Oryctolagus cuniculus: one gene and its partners. The protein of the gene in region 3 purifies or fractionates together with the protein of the main gene of each other region. This does not show direct contact. Links are inferred from orthologs where the notes say so. Each region holds a gene or a part of one and is shown on either strand. Other genes may lie near its edges.

Region 1 (5,059 bases), on a different chromosome or scaffold from region 3:
ATCAGAGTGCCCGGTAGGTTTTGTTTGTTGTAAAGATGGATTTATTTATTTGAAAGGCAGAGTCAGAGACAGGGGTGCGCGGGCTGGAGCCACAGCTCCAGTCCCGATTCCAGCCTGCTGGTCCTGTGCACCCGGGAAGGCAGTGGTGATGCCTGAAGCACTTGGGTCCCTGCCACCTGCGTGGGAGACCCAGATTGAGTTCCTGACCCAGGCCTGGTGTCACAGGCATTTGGGGAGTGAACCAGCAGATGGGAGATCTCTGTCTGTCTCTGCTTACGCAGAGGACACAAGGGCCCAGCCTGGACGCCTGAGGCAGGGGAGTGGCCAGCGTGCATCACTCACAGCCCTTCTGCTGGGAAGGCCCCAGGCAGAAGGACCCCGGCAGCATGGGCCTGGAGAGACGGCTCTCGACACAATGGCTTTCCCCCCTGACACTGTGCACAGTGTGTATGAGCTGGGGCGGGGGCGGGGGCGGGGGAGGAGGAGGCCGGGCGTCCCTGGAGGACTGCACCGTGGGGGAGCTCCAGGCAGGAGGCTCCTGATTGCCCCCCTCTCTCACACCCTGACCCCACTACGCCGAAACGTCTCCCACTCGGCGCTGCCCTCTGTACTCCTGCCTCGACCTCTTTCTGTGCTGTTATCTCCCACCTCCTCGGCTGATCCTTGTCTCCTCAGGGATCTCACTGGCTCCTTCCTCTCCGGCCGCCCAGGGCTGCCCAGCCCAGGCCCTCGTCACTGCTCTCATGGACGACACCGACACCAGCAGCCTCTGCCTGCAGCCCCTGCCCCATGCCGGCTGGCAGAGCCACCTTCTGACAAAGGCACACCTGGTCCGGAACCCCTCCTCACCACCTCCGGAGCCAGCGCGTCTCGTGCCGGACAACTTGCTTCCTGCCGTCAAAGGCAGCCGCGGGAGGGAGCCGAGGGCGGTGCTGTTCAGCACCTCTCGGGGCGACCTCGCCCTGGGGTCCGCCGTGGGCCCCGCACAGGCCCGCCCGACACCACGGGCCACAGCAGCCGCTTGGCACAAGTGCTCGGGCAGCTGGCTCAGCAGCTTCTGCCTCTGTTGAGCTTCATATTCAGAGTATTTCCCTTCGAATGTTTATTTAGCATCTGCTGAACATCAGCCACCGGGGACAGATCAAGACCAAAAGCGGGGCCGGCGCGTGGCGTAGCGGGTAAAGCCGCCTGCAGTGCCGGCATCCCATAGGGGTGCTGGTTCAAGTCCCAGCTGCTCCACTTCTGATCCAGCTCTCTGCTATGGCCTGGGAAAGCAGCAGAAGATGGCCCAAGTCCTTGGGCCCCTGCACCCGCGTGGGAGACCTGGAAGAAGCTCTTGGCTTCGGATCGGTGTAGCTCCGGCCACTGCAGCTATCTGGGGAGTGAACCAGAGGATGGAAGACCTCTTTCTCTATAACTCTGCCTTTCAAATAAATAATAAATCTTCAAAAAAAAACCCCAAAAACCCCAAAAAACCAACTAAACAACAACAACAAAAAACTAGTATGGCCCCCCCCCCCAAAAATCAAAAGTGTGGCGTGGCAGAAAGCAGTGGGTTTTTTTCGGGGGCGGTGAGGGGAAGTCAACAAATCTAGGGTCAAATCCAGGCTTTGCCTCTTATTGCTTGAGTCAGCATGGGAGAGGCCCTTACCAGCCTGAACCTGCTTCCTCCCTGTTCAATGGGAACGCTGGCTCTCCTGCGCTTGTCCTTGCTGGGAGCCGGCCCCACACAGGGTCTGCGCACCCTCCCTGGGGAGCCGGCCCCACACAGGGTCTGCGCACCCTCCCTGGGGAGTCGGCCCCACACAGGGTCTGCAACGCTCCCTGGGGAGCCGGCCCCACACAGGGTCTGCGCACCCTCCCTGGGGAGCCGGCCCCACACAGGGTCTGCGCACCCTCCCTGGGGAGCCGGCCCCACACAGGGTCTGCGCACCCTCCCTGGGGAGCCGGCCCCACACAGGGTCTGCACACGCTCCCTGGCTTCCTCCATCCGCCGGGAACCTCTTTGCCGCTCCTCCAGCCCCCTACCTGCCAAGGCAACCAGAGGCACCTGGCCAAGGCTGAGCCCGGGACGCACGGCTGAAGCCCGCGGCCCTTGCGTCGCCTGCTGCTCAGAATCTGTGCCATCTACTCAGGCTCACTGACCTCACTGCACCCCCCAGTTAGTGACCGACACTGGAGACGGCCCCAGCTGCCACGCACCGCAGGTGATTACATGACGACAGGAGTCAGGGTCTTCTCGCTAAAGCTCCCAGAGCAGAGGCAAGAGCAGGCCGGTGGCCCCCTGAGGTGTTCTGAGGACAGCTGCTCGTCAGGCCCGAGTCTGGTCTGGCAGGAGCACCCTGCACGCCAAGCCGGAACCAGGCGCTGGCCGTGGGCTGACAGCTCTGATTTAAACTACTAGGAAGGCCGAGGACTAAATATTTGTCCAGGTCACTGTAGACCGGGTGGAACTATAAACAGTGCAGAGCGGTAAGTGATGCAGGAAGTAGTCTCCGGATACGGAGCCAGGATTTTGCACCCGACTGCCAGGTGGCCGGAGTGGGGGAGGAGCCTGTGGCAGGGCTGGTCGCCCCTCCCGTGTCACTGGTCCCCAGAAGGCAAGAGCCATCCCACATGAGAGGACAGGCCCTGCCCTGTGAGCCCTGGTGCCAGAGGCCAGACGGGGACCCCAGGAACCTGGCAGCCTCCAGCCCGGTGGGACGGCCCTTGCACCTCAGGTATGCCACGCCCAGGCACCGTCTCAACCGCGTGACTACAAATCCACTTCAGAGGGTTACCGAATCAATCCTTTCTGCTCTATGTTATTTTTTCTATCAACAGCAACTAACTAAGAGTACAGTTATCTTACTGAAAAGATTTTTGATGTTAAAAGGAACCCTTGTCCAGGAGAGCAGGCCGGACGAGAACGGGAACAGGGACGGGAGAAGAGAGCTCCCCTGGACGCCCAAGGCCACCGCACTTCCACCAACACAGCATCCGCGCTGGCGGGCGAAGGCAGCTCCCTCCCAGGCTGGGGTGGGCTGGGTCTGGGCTTCCCCTCTGCCCCACCCCAAGCGTCCTGCCGCCCTGCACTGGGCACAGGTGAATGCCTTCTCTCAGGATGGGTGAGGCTTGCCAAAGGTAGCTTATCTGTTCTGACGCTTCACCAATAGCATCGAGAGCGGAAGTCAGGAGAAGCTGACCGGTCAGGGTTGAGAGCTCTGTGTTTCTAACAAGCTCCTGACAAAGCCGAGGGCTGACCGGACCACAGGGCTGCTCATGGCCAGAGAGGGGGCCGAGGGAGTGCAGCCCACGAGCGCTGCGAGGCAGCCATGGCCGCTCGGGGGCGGAGCTGGAGTGTGCGCTGGGCTGAGTGAAGGGAGACACTACCTGTCTGGTAAGGCTGCCTCCGAGGTTCATGGTACCCGAGCCGGATTTGTTGGTCTGCAGCCACAGCATCACCGTGGAAGTCAGCTTGTAGTGGGCAGTGCGGCCACTGGACTTCTCCTGCAGGGGAGGACGAGAGATCAGAGCCCGAGGAACGCTCAAGTGCTCCCTCCTCAGCCATGGCCACTGGGGTGGGCATCTGGCATGCCCGTACTCTATGCTGGATCCAGCTCCCTCCTCGCATCTGCCCTGGGAGGCAGCAAGGGACACCCAAGTGGGAGACCTGGACTGAGTGCCAGTTCCTGGCTTTGGCCAGGCACAGCCCAGGCTGTTACAGATAACCTGGAGAGAGAAACACCAACGGGGAGATCTGTAGCTTTCTAGAGAGGGGGGGGGGGGAGGAAGGGAGGGACTCCCCGAAATGTTTTTAATTATTTTATTTGAAAAGCCAAAAGATGGCGTGAGAGATTTATTCCCCACTTTCAACACCCAGGGCTGGGCACAGCCGAAGCCAGAAGCTGAGAACTGAATCTGGGTCTCTCATGTGGGTGGCAGGGACCCAGGTACTCCAGCCTGCCAGGGTGTGCGTTAGCAAGAAGCTGGAACTGGAAGCAGAGCGGGGAGGACCCAGGCACTCCACTACGGGGCGCAGGACCCTAAGTCGCATCCTGACTGCCGTGCCGCACACCCACCCCACGCTGTTTTTGAAAGGGCTGCATCTGTAACCGCGTACGCCGAGTTCGCTGGGACCTTATGATCCACGACTACTCAGTCCTCACTGATCTGCATCCAATCGGCTTTGGGGTGTTTCTAGGAATTAGCAGGGGTTTTCATCAGTGTCCCCAGCGCCAAAGCTGCACCCGGAGGCCCGGCTGCCGGCTGCTGCGGGGGCTGTACCTGCACTTCCACCACGTGGATGGAATCCCAGCAGCCTTTGATCTTCTTTGATCCATCTCCAGCCTTCTTTATGAGGATCACTCCCGCAAAGCCATGATCCAGATCCCAGAGGTAGACAGATGAGACACCACCTTCAAAATACCTGCAGGAAACAGGCCCGTGAGCCAGGAGACAGATGGCCAGTCCAGGTCCCGGCTGCCCCTCAGCTGCGATTCGCCTGGCAGTGTGGGATGAACAACCCTGCACAGGTCCCGGGGTGGATCCCTGGCTGTGTCCTGGTGCCCCAGGTTGGGGAGGGACGCGGGGAGAGCGTGGGCTCAGGGCTGTGGCTCTGTGGTCTCAGGGCTGCGGCTCTGTGGTCTCTGACACCCCTTCTGCCTTCTCAGGGACTCAGATTCCTCCCAGACGGGGGACGCAGCGCAGGGTGCGACACGGCTCCTGGAGCAGCTGCTGCCCCAGTTTCCTTCTTCTAGACGGCTCTTTGCAGGACAGATGGGAGCAGCAAACTCCTCCAGAGCCTGGGAAAGACTCAGTGAAGGGCTGGGTCCAGCTTGGAGCCTCCTCCTCTGATCTCAATCGATATGGAAAAATTCCCAGTCACGAACAAATGGGACGGAAAGAAAAGGCCAATCAGGCGGGACCCCAAATCCAAGAGCCCAAAGCCGCCTGTTCCGCAGGGCTGAGGCCGCTGTGAGGGAGACCCCCGAGTTGGGTGCTCGTCCCTCATGGCCAGCACAGTCCTCACCGCAATGCCCCTGGCGCCTCCGACCCACTCGGCCTGGGCACAGTGACA
Region 2 (5,059 bases), on a different chromosome or scaffold from region 3:
GGCTTAGCTAGGTTCTCCCACCAGACGTAGGGGAGCATGGGTACCCCACGTGGCCAACCGCAAACCAACACCCTGGGCTTTCTGGGAGTCCATTTCAATGAAGTAAACCAAAGTCTGGTGACGGAACAGCTTGTGGCTTCCAAACTTCCTGACTGTGACAGTAAAAAGACACCTCTACCATCCAGTCCTGGTGCGCTGATGGAACTAAAACGTGTTTCCAAACCAACATCTACCCCTTCATAGGTGTCCTGTGCTCTCATCTACGAAAACGCACAGAAACCACCACACACACAAAGGACAAAGGTGGGTGGACGATGCCAGCGTCGCACCCCTGGAGTGGGACCGTGCACTGTGGTGACACAGGTGCTCCCACAGGAAGAAAGTTTACACAGGGTCTCTGCAGTCTTTCTGACGACCACCTGTGAATCCACGGTTACTTCAAGATCAAAAGTTGAGCAATTGGAATCGCTGGTTGTGATGCAGTCCAGTGAATGCACACTGCAGTACTGGTTCTTGGACCAGCATGAAACACACTGCCCTGGATGGCGAAAACGAAAAAGTAGTAAGGCAGACGCTATTTGATGTTTCTCTTTCAAATAAGGACAAACGTTAGGGCAGCTTTCAGACCATTTCAGGCGCCCCTGACATTCTCCCAGCGCTACCTCTTTTCCACCAAGCAAATTCTCTGAACCAATTCGATTTCTGGGGCCAGAGTCCCGCGGGCGAGAGCGCTCTGCAGGGTGCTGCTTTTCCCAGAGTTCTGTGGAGGGCCGGGCTTGCAGCTGCTGTGTGAGAAAGGGAGACTGGCCGGTCTGTTGGCGTCAGATCCACACCTGATACCCTTCAATGTCCCACAGAACCATGCTAATGGGACACGTTTTGGGAAGTACTGGAAAGCACTTTAATTTGCCCACCACCGCCTGTCCAGGTAGCACATGGCTGTTTACAGCTCGCTAGCTCGTTCTTCTCTCCTGCAGGGCAGTGAGGCTCTAGACCTGATGAGCTCCTGACCCTGAACTCCAGCTCAGGTTTGCAGGTTCAAGTGCAGCGCAGTCTATTTGTCTTTCCTCCCCTCTCTTTTGGACTCAGTCCAGAAACCCAGCAAATTCTCACATAAGATAGAAAGATTTTCTTTATTAATGACCCCAACCGTATTTCTTTAGATACAGGAGTTTTGAACTCAAACACTTAGGAGAAAACAAGTTAAGATTGCATTATCCTGCAACTCATTACCAGTAACATATTGCAAAGCGGAAGAGCTTGGAAAAGAGGTTGAAGGGAGGGGAGTGAGGGAAGGAAGATAAAAGAAAAGGAATTAAGTTGATCAAGTGGAATTCTTTTTTTCCTTTTTTTTTTTTTTAATTCTTGGGAACTATGAAGTCCTTGCAAGCACAGCTCGTTTCTGCAGATTATTTTCCAAACGTGTACAAAATGGAACCAAAACAGAGAATCCCTTAAGAACCTGAAGAGGTGCAACATTAAAAGCTACGATTATCCAGTAGCAAGTGTTCCAGCCTTCAGTCGCCAGCCGCTTCCTCCTCCTGTTCCCAAGAGTTAGCGGGATGAAAACGTCTTCCCCCTTGAAAAGGAGAGTAAGAGTGAAGGCTGGTTTCCGGCTGACCTTTCCTTCCACTAGGGATGGGACCCCAATGACACTGAACAGGAGGTGGAAAGGGCTCGGTGCCTCAGGCAGAGGCCCTGGGGCCACAGGCGAGGCTGATCCGGCTTTCACAGACCAGCTTCACGGCCTCTTCCTGCTGACCAGATGCCCTGAGCACCAGGCCCCGTCTCCCAGAAGGAATGAACTGTATCAGTAAGACGGGAGAACCGCATGTCCATTCTGGATGGCGTGGGTGTCCCTGAGTTCCGACTGGACTGGGTTCAACCGTCTTCCTAGTATCTACCAGTCAGCTCGGGCTCCTCCTATGCAGCCTATACCTTTTAGGGCCCCCACAGAGCAGTTCCTGAACCTTCTACCACTGCAATCCTCACAAGCTCCAGGTGGAGGGAGCATTTAGTCTAGCAGTTGGGATGCTCACGTCCCGCACACTGCCTGGTTTGATTCCTGGGTTGACTTCTGCTTTCTGACAAAGCAGACTCTGAGAGGCAGCAGTGATGGCTCAGGTAGTTAGGTTCTTGTCACCCTGGGCAGGAGGAGACCTGGATTGTGCTCCAGCTGCTGGCTTAGCCTTGGCCCAACTCTGGCTGTTGTAGGCACCTGAGTGAGCCAGCAGACACACAGCAGCTCTCTCTGCAATACGTAATCAACACAAAGGTCAGCGGCCTTCTGTTGTCCACACTGGCCACACTGGCCCAGGGAACAGTTGCTGGTTTTCTAGGCTGCAGTTGTATCCCATTGCACCTCGTATTTCCGACGGAGGACCAGCTGGTTCCCAGAGCCAGGCTGGTAACTGGTAGCTATGGGTACTTATTAAAGCCGCCTGGAAGTGAGAGCTGAGAACTGAGGGGAATCAGAGCAAAAATAAGGGCGTGCCATTCTGCCTGCCCTGGAAGTCTCCCTTGCCCCCAAAGGAAACGCTTGGATTATGCTGCCCGCAGATGAAGAGCTTCCGAGGGTTCCACAGTGGGCAGAGCGCTGACGAGTGCTGACCTAGGCTTAGCTTCTGCTCCAGGGCCCTGGGTCTCCCAGTTTCACCGGGTCCATGCTCCTGCAGACTCCTCTTGTTCTGGTGTTGGAGTCCTAGCTTGTCTAGCCCGGGACCGACATCTATCCCCTGTAAGTAACATGATCTGACCTCCAGGGTGGGTGCCGCTGTTTGCCTCCCTCCTCCTCTTTCCTCTCTGGTTATACAGGCTGCCCAGGTCAAGTTTCCCCCAGGCTATACTGAGCTGTTGGTTCACCGCCTAGGCTCTCCCAGGCCCTGGAATCAGTATGAAAGTGGCTGCCTTCTACTCGAGGCCACCAAAATGGTGCCTAGCAAGAAAAGCACTCCCGTAGGAGCAGGCGGGGAAAGGGGACCTACACATGCCAGGCTGGAGAGAAGGTTCTGGAGGGGCAGCAGGAGTAGGCGGCCCAGGGCGCACCCCCTCGCCTCCCACCCTGGTCCCGGCTTTGGCCATGTTAGGAGATGCCAAGAAGCTGCGGAGGAGGAAGGAAGCTGCCGTGTGTCACATGGCGTGTGGACAGCTCCCTCGGCAGAGGCTCTATCTGCCGGCTGATTGCCGTTCCCAAGGCTCTGCGGGGCGGGCACAGAGCTAATACGGAGAAAGGCCTTCGCCTAAAGAAGTCACGATGACTCCACCTGCTGGGCACAAACGTCTCATGTTTCTGGGGCTGAAAACCCTGACCTACTGCTCAGGTACTCTGCCAGAGCCCTCTCTCCACCTTTCGAAAGGCAGTGGAAACGAGCCTGGTGGAAGAGGCTTCTGGGCCAGGAGAGAGGGCTTGGGCTGTGAGGGGTGCTTTGCTGATCACAAAAGCAAAATAACTTCCACGGGCACAAAAGCAAGGAGGTTTAAGTGCCACTACCGTAGATAAGGAGAGCAGGGCTGTGAATGTCACCACGAGGAGACCACGACATGGCCCTGTTCCCAGAGACTGACCCCTCTGGGCCGCTGGCCATGCTGGCCCCCTGCTTATACAGCCACACAGTTTACAGCTCTGCCTGTCCTGGGCAGCGCTCCTCGCGTCGCCCCTCCTCTCTGTGTTGATTACCTTCCGGCTGAGCAGCAGGCCAGGAAGAACACTCAGGGGCTGCTGTTCCAGGCCTACTGACTAAGGGACCGAAAGCAACTTCCTCCATTTCTCCAGGAAGACCACGAGGACAAGACTGATCTCTCCGCTCGGGCCTAAAGACAAGCTTTTCCTAGAAAAATGAAGCCTCTGTTGTTTTCCTGGCTGACTTTCTCACAGCGCAAAAAGAAGTGGAAACAAGGAAACCCATTCCGGCCAGCAATAGTGAAAACCTGACTCTCCCATCTCCAGTCTGTCCGGGAGCCGTAGCCTCCAGGTACCCACCACCCAGACACCAGCAGGACCAGGCCTCTGACACCCACTATTCACTTCTTGGTGAGCACAGGAGGGGGAGGTGGTCCTGCCCGACTCACGTGATTGTTTTCATTTCTTTCTTCTCAGCATCTGGGCGCGCACGGTTCAGCACCTTGAGGAAGTCAGACGTTTTTGCCCGCATACGTGTGTGAATATAGGCCTGGGAGCAAACACAACAGATACTGAAGCCCAGCCCTGTTCTGAACTGTGTAGCTAAGATTCTTGACTTCAAGGACAACTTCTGCTCTCTGCTCTGGCAGGCAAAGCCCTGGGTCACAGGAACTAAGCCCCTGGTGCCCCCTCACCTTAGAGCACTTGATGTGGTAGTGCAGGTAGTCCCGGAACGTGTGGATCAGGTTGATGGTGTTATCTCGGGCACTGGCGTTGGTGTGGCGAGGGAACAGCACTGGGGGGAGGGGTGACACACAGACAAGGCGTCAGGGTCAGGGTGGGGCCAAACAGTAGCCGCAAGTCAACTGCAGTGTTTCCCTGCTTAGCCACAATCTACCTGTTGCAGTACTCCCAGGCTCTGTCCAGGGCTTTTGCTTGACGCAAGAAGGGATAAGCAGCACAACCAGGGGAGGCACCAATGAGCACAGAGGGGCTCATGGGAGAGAAAAGGCCTGAGCCGCATGTTCATTTTGGGTCTAGATTCTGTGGTGCGTGTACTACAGTGTCTTCCCCGTCTGCCAGCCACCAGGGACGCTCACGGTTTACCCTAGGAGCCAGGGTCCTCACTGAAGTACAGAGAACAGATTCCAGAGGGTATCCCACACCAGGGAAGGAGGACGCAGGGCTTCTTGGCAGGCCAGCTGGTGCTCTGGCTGGTGCCGAGCAGGGCTGCCCACAGGCCCGTGCCGTCACAGCGCAGTCCTCCTCCCCTGTGGCCTCTGGAATGCTCTGCACCTCTGCCTCTGCTCACTGGTCTCACTAACAGCACGCGCCCGAGCCTGTGAGGTTCTGCTGAACTGAAAAGGAAGGCCTCCTAAGAAAGGGTGGCGCTCCTGTGTCACTCTGCCTGGCCAGCAGAAACCTGCATTTCAAAGAATC
Region 3 (4,486 bases):
CGGCTGGACCTCGCCACCCTCCAGCAGCTTCATGGCCTTTGAAACCAGAATAGCCTTGCTGGGAGGGGTTTTCCCCGGGATGAGCCGCCGTGCGAAAGCCCCTGGCGGGTCCGCGGAGTATCAGTTCCCTTTCTTCCTGGGCCGCCTGTTGAGAGCAGTGGTTTGGTTCTCTGAGAGGGCCTCAAGCCTGCGGGGTGCAGACACCAGCTTCCCAGGGGCGCCCTCCCTGCTGCTCCCGGCTGCTGCAGGCCTTCCCTCGACAGCCTGGTGCCACTGAGGGTGCTAACAGGCCCCCGCCCACCCCTCTCCCCCGACCGGCCTTTGCCTACCGTCTCCGGACGATTGGGTTTGCCAGGAGGGCAGGCTTCAGTGAAAAGCATGCGGGCCTGTGTTCCTGTCAGCCCGGGACCCCAGGTTAGAGAAGAGGGGCAGAGCTCATCAGCGCTGCTGGCCTAGGGACCCTGGTTAGGCTGGGGGGGGACTGCAGAGCTGAAGTGCAGGGGCTGGGTCGCCGCCCAGTCTGAAGGCAGCGGGGCGCAGGAGGCCCAGCCCTGTCTGGGGGCTCCGTTCTCAGGGGGCCTCGCCGCACGGCGCAGCAGACACCTGGTCGGGCCTGGTGCTATTTCTGAAGCTTGTGGCTGAAGCCAGTGTTTCACATGATGTAACTCGGTTTAAAATAGGTGTCGCCTTTGGGGACTTAACCCAGATTGTCATTTTCTTTTGCATGCTGGGTATTGGCAAAGAATGTGGTATCAGGATTGCCACTGAGGTTTGGGCGGGGCAGAGTGGCTCCTCTGTGGGCCGAGGGTTCTCACAGACTGGCAGTCGGACCTCTCTGGCCACGGTAGCTCCTGGAAGAGAGAAGCGTTAGTGTCTCTTCATTCCTTTAGTAGTGGAATTGATACAAAGCATCCGTGAAGAATTAGGAGACTTCCGGTTGTGCCTTCCTGCTTCCCTTTGTAGAGAGATGAGAGAGGCCTGTGAGTGCCCGGTGGGGGCAGGTGGGGCGCTGGGCGGGGCCCCTGGGACCTCACTGCAGTTGGCCCTTAGGGGCAGCTGCTTTGTGGGGAGGCAGAGAGGCGCTGCCTGGGGCTCAGGCAGCTCCAGGCTGTGAAGCAGCTGGGCCTCGGGATCCTCGTGAAGCGCCCCGGAGCGGTTCGGATTGGGCCCACGGTGCGCGCGGACACGCTTGGCCTGGCTGACCTTAACGGATGCTGGTGCACAGGGGACATGCTTCGGGCGTTCCACGCCGCCTTGCGGAACTCTCCGGTCAACACCAAGAACCAGGCTGTGAAGGTAAAGGGGCGGGGCAGGGCCCCGTCAGTGTGTGCAGCTCCCGAGGGCCTCCCTCCGGGGACTTGGCCCTGTTCTGCTTCTGTGGGCTCTGAATGCACAGGGAATTTACGGCTTCTCAGAGTCCTGTTCACACGGCCTGGAAAGAGGACAGATTACACTGCTGGCTGCGGCCTCCTCGATGCCGGGACGTGGGTCTTGACGGGGGCCGCAGCGAGTCAGCCTGTGTTCTCGAAGGGGCACCTCCTCCTCCACCGTCCGATCCTGTGGGGCCTCGCGCCTTGCTGGCGCCTGCCCAGGAAAGCACCTCCTCCATGGGAAGTGGAGGAACTCAGTTACTCGGTCATCGACAGGCAGTACTGCGTACTCTGAGCCAGTGGGAGAATCTTAGCCCACTTTTTTTAAAAAGCTGTCTGATCCTAGATCGAGTTAGAAACTGGGCAGTGCTTCTGGCGAGCTCCTCCCACTTGTGCCTACAGTGGGGCAAGGATGGGCCCGGCTGTGGCTCTGGGCCTCACGCGCGCTCTTTCCTCTGCAGGAGCGAGCCCAGGGCGTGGTGCTGAAGGTGCTCACTAACTTCAAAAGCAGCGAAATTGAGCAGGCGGTGCAGTCTCTGGACAGAAACGGCATCGACTTGTTAATGAAGTACATTTATAAAGGGTTTGAGAAGCCCACGGAAAACAGCAGTGCAGTGCTGCTTCAGTGGCATGAAAAGGTACGTGGACATGCCGGCCCCGTGCCCAGCCCCTGCCTCACCCCGGGCTTCAGCAGGCGCCCTGCGAGAGCCGGGGCCAAGCCTCCACTTGGGACCCTTGGTCCCCTCCCCCTCCCAGGGAAGCACCTGGTCGGGCTCTGCTGTCTCTGGTACACTCACTTTATAGCTGCTGCTTTGTGCCAGGCAGGACAGGGGGCCCTTGCTGTGTGCCATGGGTGCAGGTGACCAGGCGTGGTGTGGAGTGGCAGGGATGCTTCCTGGCTGGCTGGCGCGTCATGGTACTTTCTTTGCATTGGTGGAGTCAACTGCTGGGTGAGTGGGGTGGTCCTAGGATGAAGGCTGAGCCTCCTCGCCAGCTTGGAGGGCTTCTGGCCCCGGCCTCAGCAGGCCAGAGCGTGCAGTGGGCAGCAAACACGACAGTCATTTACCATGGCCTCGTCCGCCTGCCGCTCTTCACCTGGGTGCCTTCCGTCAGGCCTGCGTGCCCACTGCCCTGCCCCGCATGCCCCCTTGACAGGGGTCAGGCGCTGGGGGCGGGGCGAGCAGTCCCCCTGCGCGGTGTGGAGGCCACTCCAGTGGGCCGGTGTGCGTTCCTGTGCCTCGGGCAGCGCTGGCAGCCTGGAAGCGAGGGACTTGCTGAGAGAGGAACTGTGGCTCTGCCGGGCGTGCACGGTGCCTGGGCCCGGGCCACTCCTGCTGCCGGAGGCGGTGGTCACGTCGCAGGAGTCCTTTCTCCGAGGGTCGGCACATGCGGTCAGGCTGGGGGGCGTGGGCCCGTCGTGGCCAGCCAGGTCTCACCTGACACATTTCCTTTTCCTGCTCCGCAGGCCTTAGCAGTAGGAGGACTAGGCTCCATTATTAGAGTTCTTACAGCAAGAAAGACTGTTTAAAAGTCAAAGGACTTGTTACCTCGAGAACTTTGGATGCCCAGGCCGGTGCAGAAGGGACTGACAATGGACCACCTTCCTAGGAGCGCCCGACTCGACTCTTCCAGGACTCGTGGCCGCTGAAGTGTATTTTATTTTCAAGGTGGAGGGAGAAATCGTCTGTTTCCCAAATCCTCTGCAGGACCTGATCGTCTCTTTTGCCTTCGTCTACACAGTACTGCAGAACGGGCACTGGGACCGGACAGAGAGGCTGGCCAGCACTGGTCAGGTGGAGCTGTGCGTGCTGCTGGCTGAGGCTGGGGGAGGGATGGTTTGGGCAGGTGCAGACCCAAGGGCTGTGGTGAAAGGGACAGCTTGTGGGAAAACCCGAGTTTGTACAGACCCCTGACCTCCCGGGAAGGTGGGCTCTCGGGTTCGTTGTAAAGTGCCTGCTGCATCAATAAAGCTCTTGGCTTCTTAGTATACACATCGCGGTGTCTTGTCTCTGAAAGGTAGGGTGGGATGGGATGGGAACGAGAGAGTTTGGCTGTTCCAGGAACTCTGGACGGGCTCGAGAGTGTCCCTGCTTGGCCGCTGCGAGCCTCGGCTGAGAGGTTTGCTCAGTAACTGTTGTTCCTCACTCCTTTGACCTGGGTGTCACTCTGGAGCTCACTTAAGCGAATGCAGAGCCAGGCATTTGATGATCAGTCAGGTCTTCAGTCTGTGACTACACTTGGTCTGCGCTGAGGGTGGGCCTGAACACCCCTGGTTCCCAGCTCCGGCTCTGCTGGGTGCAGCAGCAGCGTGAAGCATCAGCAGGTTTTCTTTTCTTTAAGTATTTATTTGAGAGGGAGAAAGAAGCTGAATGAGAGCTTCCATTTGCTGCTTCACTCCCAAGTCCTGCCGTGGGCCCAAGCTCAATGCAGGCCCCCACGGGGGTGGCCAGGACTCAACAACTGTTCAGCATCGCTTCCGCCTCCCAGGGTGTGCACAGCAGGAAGCCAGAACTGGTAGCGGAGCTGGGATTCAAACCCAGGCACTATGGGATCTACTGTGGGATGTGGGGTCCCAAGCTCCTGCCCGGACAAGGGTTCTTAAAAGAACTAAAAGCCGGGCACAGGGAACAGCCAGTGGGTGCGAAGGAGGTGATGTAACCACTCACAGCAAGCCCTCTTTTCCAGCTCACGGGAGAGCTCTGCGCTGTCAGAGGTAGGGACCCGAATGCCTCTGCAAGCTCCTCTGACCAAAGCACCCCACCCCTCCCCGCTTTGTAGAATGACTGTGGTCTTTGGGCGGTAGGACTAGGCTGCTGGCTGCATTAAATTACACGTTCACCCAAACCTGGCTGAGTGGGGAGGGGTTCTTTCTGAAAGACAGTTCTGTAGCCCTTGAAGTACTGGAAACAAGAGACAATGTACTAGCAGCAAACCAGGCAAACAAGCACTGAGACAGCAAACCATCCAGGAAAACCCCCGGCAACTGCATCGGAATTGAAGCGCTTTAATCAAAAAGTGTATTGCACCACAAGTGAGTTTTCTATAGCAGTCTCAGGAGTACCATCCTATTTACAACACTGAGTGAGATCAAGAGCAACGTCCATAGAAAGGGCTAT
Region 4 (5,059 bases), on a different chromosome or scaffold from region 3:
GGTGGGCGCCGGTTCGAGTCCCACCTGCTCCACTTCCGATCCAGCTCCCTGCTAATGTGCCTGGGAAGGCAGCGGAGGATGGCCCCAGTCTTTAGACCCCTGCACCCATGGGGGAGACCAGGAGGAAGCTCCTGGCTTCAGATCAGCCCAGCTCTGGCTGTCGTGGTTATCTGAGAAGTGAACCAGCGGATGGAGGACATCTCTCTCTCTCTGCTTCTGCCTCTAACTCTGCCTTTCAAATAAATATTAAATAAATAAAATCTTAGAAAGAAAGGACACAGACCCCTTCTTACCATCTTCCTGCTTGTTTGCAGGTTTGGCATAAATTGCATTAAGTGGAAATCCTGGCTCTCCAGGAATGGGAAAATTTGTGATTCCCAGTGTATACATTTCTTTCTCGCCTTGGCTTTTGGAATTGCACTAAAAAAAAAAAATAATAATAATAAGTAAATATATATATATGACATGGTCTCACACCTGCTTTTATTAATTCACCAAACTCTGGCATGGGGCCTAATAACTCCATTTTGAAGTAGTGAGGAGTGTAAACAAAGTTCTGAGTTTAATGTGAAATGGAAACAGCATGAATTCTGTGAGAGAAAGTCACCGGCACTCCTGATACTACTGGGGGCTACTGCCAACATTAACAACGGAAGTAAGTGCTTCGCTTCAGCTAAAGGTTGATGGAAAGAAAAACCCAGCTTATTCCCCACTCAAATTCACGGACCCCTGAGTCATTGGTCTGCAGGTGAAGAACACCTGAGCCCAGGGCTTAACGGAGTCTCTCTGTCAAGGTTTGCGTCTTGCAAACACACACGTATGCAGCTTAAAACACAGTCACTCACACTGGGAATTAAGAGAGCTACACTCGGGTCTTCCTCCTCAGATCATGTCCAAGTCTAAGGGAGTATTTCCTAGCTGTCCTTGGAGTCGCGACACACAAAAAACGACTGGGAGTATAAACAACTGTCGGCACTCTCCCGAGCTTAATCCATTACCTTTTGGAGTTTCTTTAGACACTCAGAGATGTAGAGAGTTATATATATCAGGGTCCTGTCGGCTTCATTCTACAGAGAGGAAAAGAACATTCAGCAAACAGTACAGACGAAAACCTAGCAGTTCCGTCCAACAAATGGAATCAATCTTCATCTCCGGATGATCTACTGAAAGCCTGGACTCTACTTCCCCTTCTCAGGTTCAGGGCACACACATATACTGCTGCGGCACACGAGGCCCCTTCTCCCAGTCAGGCTTCCCTCTGTGCACGCGGGCAGGGCCAGGGCTTCCACCCGAGCTCTGTGGAGGCTCTTGTTCTCAGCTCCCTTCACCCCCGGTCCCGGGGAGCTGTGCCAACAGCCCCTCACCCTGCGTAGGAAGGAGAATGAACAAGGCTGCCTGAATAACCTGAGGTGCACCATATGGCTGGCCAATTTTTAAAAACCCTTTCATTTCAGGATCTCTGCCAAGAACAGAAACATTCATTACTCTAAAAGAGGAAGCAATTACTTCACGTGTGACATGTTCTTGAAGAACTCCCTAAGCCTGGCGTCCTGAGCTAAGCAAAAGGAGAAGTGGAGAAGACGAACGGATGTTGATCCAATGTGGCAGACGTGAGATCACATTTTGCTCGTATTTATAGCTGAAAAAACAAAAAGAAACCTACACGTTTCCCTGTTTTTAAGACCAGGAAATAAAGTGTGGTAGAATAATATTTATTTACACCTACTACAAACACAGCATGTGGGCCATGTATTTGACAAAGAAAACACTCTGTTAATATCACAAAATGTTTGGACTACAATTTATAGATCAGGAATCTATAAATAAAGATTTTACATCCTGCTTGATTTCAAAAGGTCAAAGTTGGCAAGGAGGAGGCTGAAGTTCATCTCACCGCCGTTCCTGGTAACCTGGAGAGCAGAGCTCAGGAAACCTGGTTTCCATTTTCCCTCCTCCTCGTCCGTGACCCTCCCCTTCCTTCCCTCGTCACAGGAACTGAGGAGAGAGGGGAGAGTGGGGCAGGACCAGGGTCGCTCAAGTCTCTACTTCCCCTTCTCAGGTTCAGGGCACACACGTATACTAACAAAATTACACAGCCAGGAGGATTTCTCACTTGTGGGCTAATGCTACCCACCAGGCCTGGCACACAGTAGGTGCTAAATTAATGCTAAAATGTCTTTACACCAGAATTGGCAAATTTTCTCTACAAAGGGCCAGAAACCAAACAAGTTAGGCTTTGAGGGCCAGGCTGTGTTCCAATGACATTTTATTTACGAGAAGCCATGGGCCAGATTCAGTCCTCAGGCTGTAGTCTGTCAACCCTGGTACAGACTTTGGAGGAAGAAAAAGAAACCAGTATCTTCACAGAATCTAATACCAGACAGTGTTCTAGAATTTAAGAATCACAATTTCACATCGCATTTTCTCTTCATGGCAACTCATTGCAGTGTAGAGATTACCCTAATCAGAAAATTAAAGTGAAATATTAAAAGCTCTGTCATTTACCTTAATTTCATAGTTTTTGAAGAAGACATTGGCCTTGAAGTAATAGATGGCTTCATCCACAATATCCGTATCTTTTGCTAAGCAGGATAACAAGGGGAAGGAGGGAAGAAAAAATCAGTCAACTGCAAACTGTAATTTAGCCTGTAAAAACCATAAAAAAAATAAATCCAGGATCAACTGTCAACAATTCTATAGGTGAATAAAATTAAAGCAGGGAGCACATACGTGGCACAGCAGTTAGCTACTGCTTGGGACGCCCACATCCTGTATCAGAAGGCCTGTGTCTCTCCATTCTGCTCCCTGCCTTTTCCCGGGAGCGGCTGGGTCCCTACTACCCTCAAGGGAGACCAGAACTGAATTCTAGGCTCCTGGCTTTGGCTTAGCCCAGTCCTGGCTGCTGCAGGCATTTGGAGATGAAACACAGCACATGGGAAATCTCTCTCTGCACTTCAAATAAAAAAATTTTTTTAAATGAAGCTATTAAAATAAAACCTGTAAAACAATTTCTAGAAAATAAAGTATGTAGTTAATTTTTATTTCTTAAGATTTGTTTGGCCAGTGCCGTGGCTCAATAGGCTAATCCTCCACCTGCGGCGCTGGCACACCGGGTTCTAGTCCCGGTTGGGGCACCGGATTCTGTCCCGGTTGCCCCTCTTCCAGGCCAGCTCTCTGCTGTGGCCCGGGAGTGCAGTGGAGGATGGCCCAGGTGCTTGGGCCCTGCGCCCCATGGGAGACCAGGAGAAGCACCTGGCTTCGGATCAGCGCGGTGTGCCGGCTGCAGTGGCCATTAGAGGGTGACCAATGGAAAAGGAAGATCTTTCTCTCTGTCTCTCTCACTGTCCACTCTGTCCAAAAAAAAAAGATTTGTTTTATTTGAAAGACAGAGTTAGAGAGAGGTGGGGGGGGGGGGTGCGGGGGAGGACTTCTATCTGCAGGTTCACTCCCCAAATGGCTGCCAACAGCCAGAGCTAGGCCAATCTGAAGCCAGGAGCTTCTTCTGGGTTTCCCATGTGGGGTCAGGGGCCTAGGGACTTGGGCCATCTTCTACTGCTTTTCCAGGCCACAGCAGAGAGCTGGATCGGAAGTGAAGCAGCGGGACTTGGACCAGTGTCCATATGGCACTATAGGTGGCAGCTTTACCCACTATGCCACAGCGCCAGCACCAGGTTTTTTTTTTGTTGTTGTTTTTTTATTTAAAGATTTATTTGAAAGAGTTACGGGGGTAGGGGAGAAGGAGAGAATCTTCCACCTGCTGGTTTACTCATCAGATGGCCGCAACAGCCAGCTGGTCCAGGCCAAAGCCAGGAGCCAAGAGGCAGGAACTTCATCTGGGTCTCCCATACAGGAGCAGGGGCCGGTGCTCTTAAGGGATGCTGGCACTGCAGGCTGTGGCTTTACCCACTATGCCGCAGTGCCGACCCCTTAAGATTTTTATCCTTTTATTTATTTATTTATTTAATTTTTTTGACAGGTAGAGTGGACAGTGAGAGAGACAGAGAGAAAGGTGTTCCTTTTGCCATTGGTTCACCCTCCAATGGCTGCTGTGGCCAGTGCGCTGCGGCCGGCGCACCGCGCTGATCCGAAGGCAGGAGCCAGGTGCTTCTCCTGGTCTCCCATGGGGTGCAGGGCCCAAGGACTTGGGCCATCCTCCACTGCACTCCCAGGCCACAGCAGAGAGCTGGCCTGGAAGAGGGGCAACGGGGACAGAATCCAATGCCCCAACCGGGACTAGAACCCGGGGTGCCGGCGCCGCTAGGCGGAGGATTAGCCTGTTGAGCCTTGGTGTCAGCCCAAGATTTTTATCTTGAGAGCGTGTCTGGAGTTCAATGAGTATCTTTTTTTTTTTTTTTTGACAGGCAGAGCGGACAGTGAGAGAGACAGAGAAAGGTCTTCCTTTTCCGTTGGTTCACCCCACAACGGCCACTGCGGCCAGCACGCTGCGGTCTATGCACCATGCTGATCCAAAGCCAGGAGCCAGGTGCCTCTCCCAGTCTCCCATGCGGGTGCAGGGCCCAAGCACTTGGGCCATCCTCCACTGCACTCCCGGGCCACAGCAGAGAGCTGGCCTGGAAGTGGAAGAGGAGCAACCGGGACTAGAACCTGGGGTGCCGGCGCCGCAGGCGGAGGATTAACCTATTGAGCTGCGCCGCCGGCCCCAATGAGTATCTTAATGTATGGGAATAGCCCACAGATAGTTTCATTTCTGAGTGATGACTCAGGAGGAAATACGAACTTACTCATGTATTAGAGGGTATCAGAAATTAAGAATCAGGCAAATCTATCTACTCTGTAAAAAGACCCAAGAATAAATTGCTTGAAGATAAATTATATTCCAAAGATTCTAGGTGGGGAATTTTTAAGTTGTCATTATGTAACTCAAGGAAGATTACAAAGGCCAGGTAATTTTGGGCTGATAAGACAACTGTGGATGAAGCATCACTTGTTCTAAGAGCTTGAAGACTTAAAAGAACCAAGCAGACAGCTTTGATGGACAGTGGAAGGAACTGCAACATAGGGAATTCCTTAAATAAAAATGTATTAACTGGGACCGGTG

The links.
Region 1: the proteins of ARPC5L (region 3) and CAPZB purify together in Homo sapiens (co-immunoprecipitation; 3 studies listed by BioGRID and IntAct, with this or other methods). This does not show direct contact. The link is inferred for Oryctolagus cuniculus from reciprocal best matches to the Homo sapiens genes ARPC5L and CAPZB.
Region 2: the proteins of ARPC5L (region 3) and ARPC2 fractionate together in Homo sapiens (co-fractionation; 7 studies listed by BioGRID and IntAct, with this or other methods). This does not show direct contact. The link is inferred for Oryctolagus cuniculus from reciprocal best matches to the Homo sapiens genes ARPC5L and ARPC2.
Region 4: the proteins of ARPC5L (region 3) and ARPC3 purify together in Homo sapiens (affinity purification with mass spectrometry; 7 studies listed by BioGRID and IntAct, counting the BioPlex papers as one, with this or other methods). This does not show direct contact. The link is inferred for Oryctolagus cuniculus from reciprocal best matches to the Homo sapiens genes ARPC5L and ARPC3.

What each region holds. Positions count from the first base shown.
Region 1 is NC_091438.1:151,246,144-151,251,202, reverse strand, and holds part of CAPZB (F-actin-capping protein subunit beta), read right to left. Parts: intron 4,409-5,059; coding exon 4,267-4,408; intron 3,490-4,266; coding exon 3,373-3,489; intron 1-3,372. UniProt on the Homo sapiens protein: F-actin-capping proteins bind in a Ca(2+)-independent manner to the fast growing ends of actin filaments (barbed end) thereby blocking the exchange of subunits at these ends.
Region 2 is NC_091434.1:21,103,305-21,108,363, forward strand, and holds the end of ARPC2 (actin-related protein 2/3 complex subunit 2), read right to left. Parts: intron 4,416-5,059; coding exon 4,315-4,415; intron 4,170-4,314; coding exon 4,069-4,169; intron 1,580-4,068; coding exon 1,555-1,579; 3' UTR 1,115-1,554; downstream 1-1,114. UniProt on the Homo sapiens protein: Actin-binding component of the Arp2/3 complex, a multiprotein complex that mediates actin polymerization upon stimulation by nucleation-promoting factor (NPF).
Region 3 is NC_091432.1:228,724,112-228,728,597, forward strand, and holds the end of ARPC5L (actin-related protein 2/3 complex subunit 5-like protein), read left to right. Parts: intron 1-1,223; coding exon 1,224-1,296; intron 1,297-1,831; coding exon 1,832-2,008; intron 2,009-2,191; exon of another isoform or gene 2,192-2,286; intron 2,287-2,835; coding exon 2,836-2,898; 3' UTR 2,899-3,361; downstream 3,362-4,486. UniProt on the Homo sapiens protein: May function as component of the Arp2/3 complex which is involved in regulation of actin polymerization and together with an activating nucleation-promoting factor (NPF) mediates the formation of branched actin networks.
Region 4 is NC_091452.1:8,108,085-8,113,143, forward strand, and holds part of ARPC3 (actin-related protein 2/3 complex subunit 3), read right to left. Parts: intron 2,583-5,059; coding exon 2,506-2,582; intron 1,068-2,505; coding exon 999-1,067; intron 421-998; coding exon 294-420; intron 1-293. UniProt on the Homo sapiens protein: Component of the Arp2/3 complex, a multiprotein complex that mediates actin polymerization upon stimulation by nucleation-promoting factor (NPF).